2 linked regions of the Nothobranchius furzeri genome follow. The protein of the gene in region 2 interacts with the protein of the main gene of each other region in a biochemical or structural test. Links are inferred from orthologs where the notes say so. Each region holds a gene or a part of one and is shown on either strand. Other genes may lie near its edges.

The links. The genes of interacting proteins can lie anywhere in the genome.
Region 1: the proteins of histone deacetylase 4 (region 2) and zbtb16a form a complex in vitro, tested with the Homo sapiens proteins (2 studies listed by BioGRID). The link is inferred for Nothobranchius furzeri from reciprocal best matches to the Homo sapiens genes HDAC4 and ZBTB16.

Annotation. Positions count from the first base shown.
Region 1 is NC_091750.1:30,173,812-30,177,889, reverse strand, and holds the start of zbtb16a (zinc finger and BTB domain-containing protein 16-A), read right to left. Parts: upstream 2,801-4,078; 5' UTR 2,668-2,800; intron 1-2,667. UniProt on the Homo sapiens protein: Acts as a transcriptional repressor. Transcriptional repression may be mediated through recruitment of histone deacetylases to target promoters. May play a role in myeloid maturation and in the development and/or maintenance of other differentiated tissues.
Region 2 is NC_091754.1:47,244,973-47,249,007, forward strand, and holds the start of histone deacetylase 4, read right to left. Parts: upstream 2,801-4,035; 5' UTR 2,239-2,800; coding exon 2,124-2,238; intron 1-2,123. UniProt on the Homo sapiens protein: Responsible for the deacetylation of lysine residues on the N-terminal part of the core histones (H2A, H2B, H3 and H4).

The sequences.
Region 1 (4,078 bases), on a different chromosome or scaffold from region 2:
AAGGAAAACCATTCGTGTTTAAAGTCAACAAGTGTTGCCAATTTGTCATATTTGCAGAACCATCAGCTCAATTACCGGTTATAGAATATGTGTATTTATTTAACCATGAAAGGATCCGGTTTATTATGTAAACGGGAAAAACGGGAAGCCGCTGGAGTCTCAAATTGCAAATATCCTGCAGGGCTGGTAAACAATCTGTGCAGCGGCATTGTTCTGGAGACCAGCGCCGAGTATTGACAGTATTTTCTGAAGGGAGACGATTTGTTAGCTGTCCAACAGGCTCATCCTGCATACCAATCAACCTGACATATGTTACGTTAAAAGATGTCTTCGTTTGCTTATCTGACGGGGACGTGCAGTTAAACAAGGGAGCATTGTGGGCTTTCACTGCTGCTTGGCTCGCAGGGACCGTCAGCAGCCTTCCCAACATTAAATAGCATCTTACTCAGTATTCCCATCACAGACGGGAGCAGAGAGCAGCGGCCAGACAGGGGTGGAAGAGAAAAGCAGGATGAGGCAAAAAGCACTGCTGCACTTAAACGCTCCGCTCGGCTCTCAGCCGCTGAAATCTCAAATGAATGAACATCTCTGTGGCTGCTGGTGATTTCATTATTCACGTTAACAGGGCAACGTGTTGCTCCACCTCATTACTGGAGCGCGTCTGACCCGCGCCAGATAAACCAGGACAGGTTCAGACTGAATTAGCAGAACGTGGACGTAAAACATAGACGCCTCTGGCTGCTTCTGGTTTAGTCTGGTTTAATGGTCTGCCCCACCGGAGGACGAAAGCATGAATGCTGGTTAACCACCTCAACTGACCCACATTCTGGGTGAACTCACTGATTCAGTCAGCTTCATGAGCAATGACAGAAACTTTTCAGCAGTTTTTAGTCAAAAAAGAAACGTGCAAATGCATCCTCAGCGTTTTAAAGCTGACTGCAGTTTACATGGAAATTCTGTCATTTTTCTTGTTTCCTCGCTCTGGCGCAGGAGACCATGGACGTAATCAGGTTTATGACCGGGTCCATCTTAAAAAGTGACTGGGTCTCAGTTGGTTTGGAGAAAAAAAATGAGTATCATCAGATAAAATCATCAAGGTATCAGCCTTAGAAATCAGAATCGGTGTATTTCATCTTTAACTTTAACACTTTAGAGCAGGATTTTACAAGTGCTTAATGTCATGATGAGAGTATCATAAAATATGCAGAAAAATAAAATATATAAGTTGAATTATTGCTTGAAACATAAAAACTTGGGAGAAAAATGACTACAAACCTGTCATTTTCTACTCAGAGCTGCGAGTTTAGATTAGAAAAAGCATCAGGCTAACCAAATAAATAAAAACCACTAATGATGAGCCCACAGGTCCCCATCTAACCGAGATCAGCCCCTTCACGCCTCCAGCACCACATTATCATCAGTAATGTTTGTGTCCCTGAACGTGATCGGTGCTTGTTGCGCGCATCGGAGCAGCCCAAACTTCCCATTCAGGCACTTGTGTCTGCTCTCCATTAATAGAGAGGAGCGTCTAGACAGCGCGCGGATGTTGGGCCAGCCGCTGCAGACCCATTCTACACGAGCATTACGCAAATCAGCAGACTACATTAAGTACATTAAGCCGGTGGAGATGGTGTCCCGCGAGGACAACGAGCAAATAAAGAGACTTCAGAGAGAGAGAGAGAGAGAGAGAGAGAGAGAGAGAGAGAGAGAGAGAGAGAGAGAGAGAAGCATCGGAATCGATCTGATCACGAGCTGTCTGCCGTCGCGCGCACTGACGAGCCGCAGCCACAACAAGAATAAACAGCGTTCAATAATCCAGCGCGAGAGCCGCACGGACGGACCCCAGGCGCGGGAGCGTTGTTATGGTCTGGTGGTGGGGGGTGTGGTGGTCATAAACGTGCACGCGAGCCTGGTTCCGGTCCGATCTGCGTGCAGGTGGCAGCTCCACATCTCGGTGAGGATGTGAAGGAGTGAAAGGGGAAGAGGAGGATCAGACACATTCGATAACAAATCCATTTGAATCAGTTACCAGCGCGCGCGCGCGCGGCGCGTGCAGCTCGATTATTGGGAACTAATCAAACATGTAGTTAGCTGTCAGTCAATCCCGCTCTGACAGCGCAGTCACGCTGGTTTGGTGCAACTGTCTCGAGCCGCCGTGATGTCACACCGCGGATTAATAAGAGGGGATAGGAATGGGACGTCACGCGCGCTTTACCGCTGCCATCGGTCCGTGGAAGGGACACGCAGCGCGGCGTCACGAGCCGCCTGGCTCCCGGTGAACACAGCCAGACCTCACGTCCTCTCGCCGCTCTCCAGAATACTAACCAGACAGGAGCGCGAGGAGGGGGCTTACGTCAACCCTAGCGCCTCCGCAATAGGCTGCCGTGCGTTAATGCAAACTTTAACACCTTGCAGCGCAATCAGGTAAACACTTGTTTTCAGCCGGGACTCGCTCAGGCGCGCGCGACCCACTGCCAAGTCGCTGGTAACTTCAGCACGAAAACGCACATGAAACCGGAAGGTCAGCCGAGGACGAGCGCAACAAACGCACCCAAAACATCCATATGGTGAATGAAAGTCCGCTAAATGAAGCACACGCGCGCGCAGGAGCGAGCCCGGCACTTGTCTCCGGGAAGCGGCAGCCGCGTGTCCGGTGTCGGTACTCACCTAAGTTGCAGGTTTGGAGTCCGTGTGGCGCGCGGGGGACTGGGGCTACAGCATAGTAAGGCAGTTCGCAGTACCCGCTCTCTCAACACGCACTAACTCCTTTCTTCTCTCGCCTTAGCGAATCAACACGCCGCTGACGTCAACGCAGCCAGACGAGCAGCAGGCGGGCGGGCGGCCGCCGCGGCGCTCCAGTCCGAGCAGAGAGAAAGTGAGACACCTAGGGGACTGTCTCCGGCCAAACGGGCGTGTTACTGGAGGCCAGGGAGAGGCGAGACGCGTCCTCGCCCACAGGAGCTGGGCTGAAGCTCCACAGGGACGGAGCTGGGCTTTAGAGGACCTCAGGGGTTCAGGAGTCACACCCCAACAAGTCCTGCTCACCACCCCCAGACTGGTTCCGACACAAAACCAAGAACTATCTGATCGTTTGAATCATTTCAGAATTCTGCTTTTTTAAATGTTTGGATTTGATGTATTTTTGATTCAATCAACTCTGTCTGAGGTCCGAGTTTGGCCGTCCTTCCGTCCCTGTTCTGCCTCAGTTTTCTTTTCCCCAAAACTATTTTCAAAGAGCCAAAATAAAGTTTTGGATTATTTAAAATGTAGAAAATCCCTGCAAACCGGAGCACTCGGATATCGAAACTAAATACTTCTGATGGTTTCCTGTGAGCCATCAGACCTGACTCACTGACCTAACATCAGTGTCTAAGCTCTGTAATTAGGTGGGAAGTGTTTTATGGAAAATGGCCTGTGTTTAATCTGGCACCAGTCCCAGAACCTGAATCAGCCATTCACACATTCACAGCTGGTGATGATGCGCTACATTGTGGCTACAGCTGCCCTTGCCCAAGGACACAACAGCAGCACTCTTTGCCAGGAGCTGAGATCGATCCTGCAACACCGCCAACCCGCTCCACCTCCTGCTGCCTTCATGTCTGTATCCACTACAACCCAGATTTATTTCATTTTCAATTCAAATATTTAAATATTAACTGCAACACTTTTAGATTTAAGCTCAGGTCTGCTGTCCAAACTCAAACCGAGATTTACTAAAATGCAATTTAACAAATTAAAAAAATGACAGAAGACTAAATAAAGTGCAGGACGTGAATAAACACAACTGCTTTATGTATTTTAGCAAAAATAAACCTTTATTTTTTGCCTTTTTTACTCAATCATTTATGAACAGATGTATTTGGAAAACATGATCAAAGCTGGGGTCATTTTTATAAAACAAACTGAATGTGCTGTCAGGTTTCAGTAGCATTTCACAATAAGTGACCCAAAGACGTGCAACAATCCTGAAGAAACGTCCTAACAGCACAGAGTTGGTCGTGTTTGCACACACGAATAAAAGAGATGAAACAAGTAGGAACAACTTCCTTTTAGGGGGTCACACGCGGATCAAAGCCAT
Region 2 (4,035 bases):
GGTTCCTTTGCTCTCATAATGTCTCTTTTCTGTCTCGAAGGGCTCCTTGCATCGGTCTGGATGAGCCTGAGGGTTCAGTCTTAAAGTCCCTAATGAGAACCAATCAGAAGATGTTTCTGCTTTTGAAGACATCCTGAACTTTGTTACCACAGCAGACGTCCCAGCCAATCAGAAGCCTCGCTGATAAACAGATAGACTCTGATTTGAACACCTCTTTGTCTCAGAGCACTGACGTCAAGCCAGAGCTGGAGTTTACTGATGTGTGTGAGATAAGGACGACATGAGGGCAGCCGCCATCCGACCCAAACGGGGGGCGGGGGCTCCAGAGACATTACACAACGGGCAGACTTACCTGTATGACAGGTGTGTGTGGGGGGGTGGGGGGTGGGGGGGTCTAAAAAAAGATCCTCTTTGATCTGCAGCCTGATTTAGCTCAGACTCAGAGGGAAGAGAATCCACACGCTTCACTTTCTTTTTCTCCTGCGAGTCTGATCGGAGCGTTTGTGGATCAGAGGGAATCTCTAAAAGGCATCGGGATTCAAAGGAATCTCCTTCAGAGGGAATTCTGACAGCTTTTTCGTTTGCTTTAACTCAGCGACCTTTCCTGTCAGCGGGTTCCTCTGCACACCCCTGCACTCCTTCATACCCCCCCCCCCTACACACGCACGCACGCACACACACACACTCACACACACACACACACACACACACACACACTCACACACACACACACACTCACACACACACGCACGCACACACACACACACACACACACTCCACAAACTAATCACAATCTGTTTACGACCCCTCCGGCGCTCTCCACAACTCTTCTGGCTCCTGCTGTGAATCTATTTATACCAGACAATGTCGAGGGCTGGCGGTTCTGACTGGAGGCCCGGTTCGTGGAGCCCGGGTCCCACGGTCCGACTGCCTAAGCCCCGCCCCTTAGGCCCTAATGGATGTGGCACAGATGAGGGCTCATTCTGAAAAGTCCTGCAGCCAACAGTCACTTCATCTGTTGTCCAGGTAGAATCAGGTTTTAGCTGCAGTGGGCGGGGGGGTGGTCGCCCTTCTAATGACATCACACAACGGCGTTACGCAAAGGATCCGTGCTGGGAGTGCGCACACACACACACACACACACACACACACACACACACACACACACACACACACACACACACACACACAGAGCTAAAGTTCAGGAGGCCTCTGCAGGTGTGATCCTCACCTGCAGGGCGTTTTAAAGACTCCCAGATGGCTTCACCCTCCTCTCCGTGCAGGAGAAGCGGTCCGGGTCACATGCCACCCAGCAGCTTCGTAGCCAAGACAACAGATTCTGAGAATATCAGATGAAGATGCTCTGGTGGATTTCAATATTTTATCAGCTGAGCCGGAGGCAGGAGCAGGAAGTGAAAACAAAAATAACCTAGGAGCAGAAACGGCAGCGTGCTGGAGCGTTGGCTGCTGTCTGGGAGTCAGAATTAGGAATTAGACTCACCCAACCATCCTGGGAGGCAAAAAACCAAAAGCTGGGAGCAGTTTAAGCTTCCTTATTACAGAATTATGGGATGCACTATCCCAACACCAATTTATCCTTCCTTATCTGTGCCCCTCTGGTTTTGCTCCACTCTCCTCATCCTCACTTTTCCTGTACAATTTCTACCGGACAACATGGATCTGCATTCAGGAATACTTGGGAATGGGAACTTATAGCACTGGGAGCTGCAAGAGATTGTTTTGGGAACATTAAACGGACTCAGGAACTGACTGAGAGGCACAATGGGTTTGTTTAGCTGTGTGTGTGTGTGTGTGTGTGTGTGTGTGTGTGTGTGTGTGTCTGTGTGTGTGTGTGTGTGTGTGTGTGTGTGTGCGTGCGTGCGTGCGCGCAAACATTCGGAGTTCCAGATTTTCATTCAGCAAAATGGCAGCACCGGAGCGGCTTAAATAAAACATTGGGGATGTAAACATGGTGTCTCCTGGTCAAGTAGACGGTGTGTCCCCGGCTCGCTCACATCCAAAAAGCAAAGTCACACAGGATGTGGTTGATAGTAACATCACGTACTCACACACACACACACACACACACACACACACACACACACACACACAGATTGACCAACCTGTTGGGATGTGGTTGAGCGCCGACGTCTTGAGGACCTCCAGCGGCGGCTCCTTTCCCAGGATTCCCTCTGTGGGAGAAAGAGAGCATTCTGCTTCAAAGATGGTCCGCAGCATTGAGCCGGGCTTCCAGCCACAAACCTGCTAATCAGGCGGTTAAAACCAGTCGGAGAGAGAAAGAGAGAAGGTGGGAGAGAAAGAGAGGGAGAGAGAGAGAGAGGGGCTTCAGGTCATCTGCACGGTGGAGAGCACATGCCGCTGTGCACCTCCGAGCCCCTGAGCTGCTTCCTGATCCATGAGCAGCAAACGCTGAGGCGCGTCTGCAGGGATGCTCGGACGGAGCTAAAGAATAAGCCGGGATTCAGAGGGAGCGCTCGTCAGCTGGTGTGTGTGAGTGAGAGTGAGTGTGTGTGTTCGCTTGTGAGCGAGTTGGAGAGATGTTGGCGCTCGACTGATAGCGCCTGTGCTCAGCATAGCAAATGTGGCTAGCAGCAGCGGCGGAGAGAGGGATGAGGAGGCGATGGAGAGGAGGGGAGGGGAGGGAGGTAAAAATAGCTCACCCTTTTGTGTATAACTGCACATGCAGAGCACGCACACACCAACACAAAGACGCTGCTCCAGCGAGTGTGTGTGTATGCATGCATGTCCATGTGTGTGTAGGCTGTAATTATAGTGGCAACATGAAAAGGCTTTTGTAGCTGCTGAGCCCTGGGAAGACATGGCTATAAAAAGCTGGGGGGGGGGGGGGGGGGGCACAAAAACAATCAACATGCATCCATCTCCTCCTCCTAAATCTGTTACTAATAACTCTCTCACTCTGCATCCTGTGAGCATTTATAGTTCTACAGCACCTGGTCCGTGTATTCACACACACACCTATTTATCTATTTACATTCTGAGCATAAAGTGTACAGACATCAGCACAAACACGGGTTTGAGATTTAAAAAATAACGAGAAATCCCTTCAGAGGGGAAAAAAAGAGAAAAACAGGCGAGAGTCTCACCATCCGTGGTCTATTTCTGGAATTCTCTGTGGACTAGACTGGTGCACACACACACACGCTCTCACACACACACACGCTCACACACATGCATACACAAACACACACACACACACACGCTCACACACGCGCGCACACACACACACACACACACACACACACACACACACACACACACACACACATGCTCGCACACCTGTATACACGCACCCACATGCATGCACGCACACACACATGCTAACACACACATACGCACACACACACGCACATGCAAACACACACACACGCTCACACGCTCACACACACACACACACACGCTCATACACACACATGCTCACACACATGCACACACGCTCACACACGCACACACATATGCTAACACACACACACATCCGCACACACACACACACACGCTAACACACACAAATACACACACACACACACACACACACACACACTTTTATTATCTAGGAAGCTAGAGGATATTGGTCTCACACCACCCTGCCTGGATGGCTGCAGCGGTCAGGTTTGGTCCTGATGAAACTCGTCTCTGTGCGTGCATCCGTCTCCTCACAGGCAGCAGGAAGCTGATGTATGATGCACTAAAACCTGGTAAAGTCGATACCAAACAGGTATGGTGTTATCTGTATACGCTATGATACAATACTTGAATAAAAGAAAGAAAAAGTACTTTTCATGTGGTACAAATTATTCACCCAAAGTAAAGTGGTAGTTTACTCATGTAAACTGTATCTGCAGCGGTGTCTATTACGAATGAACGCACCCGTTTCAGGAACTAGAAGAGAGCCACGTCAGAGCGGAGCTTCACAGGCAGGATTAGGATGATTACTTCCTGATATTTGGACATTTTTCCTCTAATTGGCTAACAGCAACGTTGATGTTTTATCTCCAT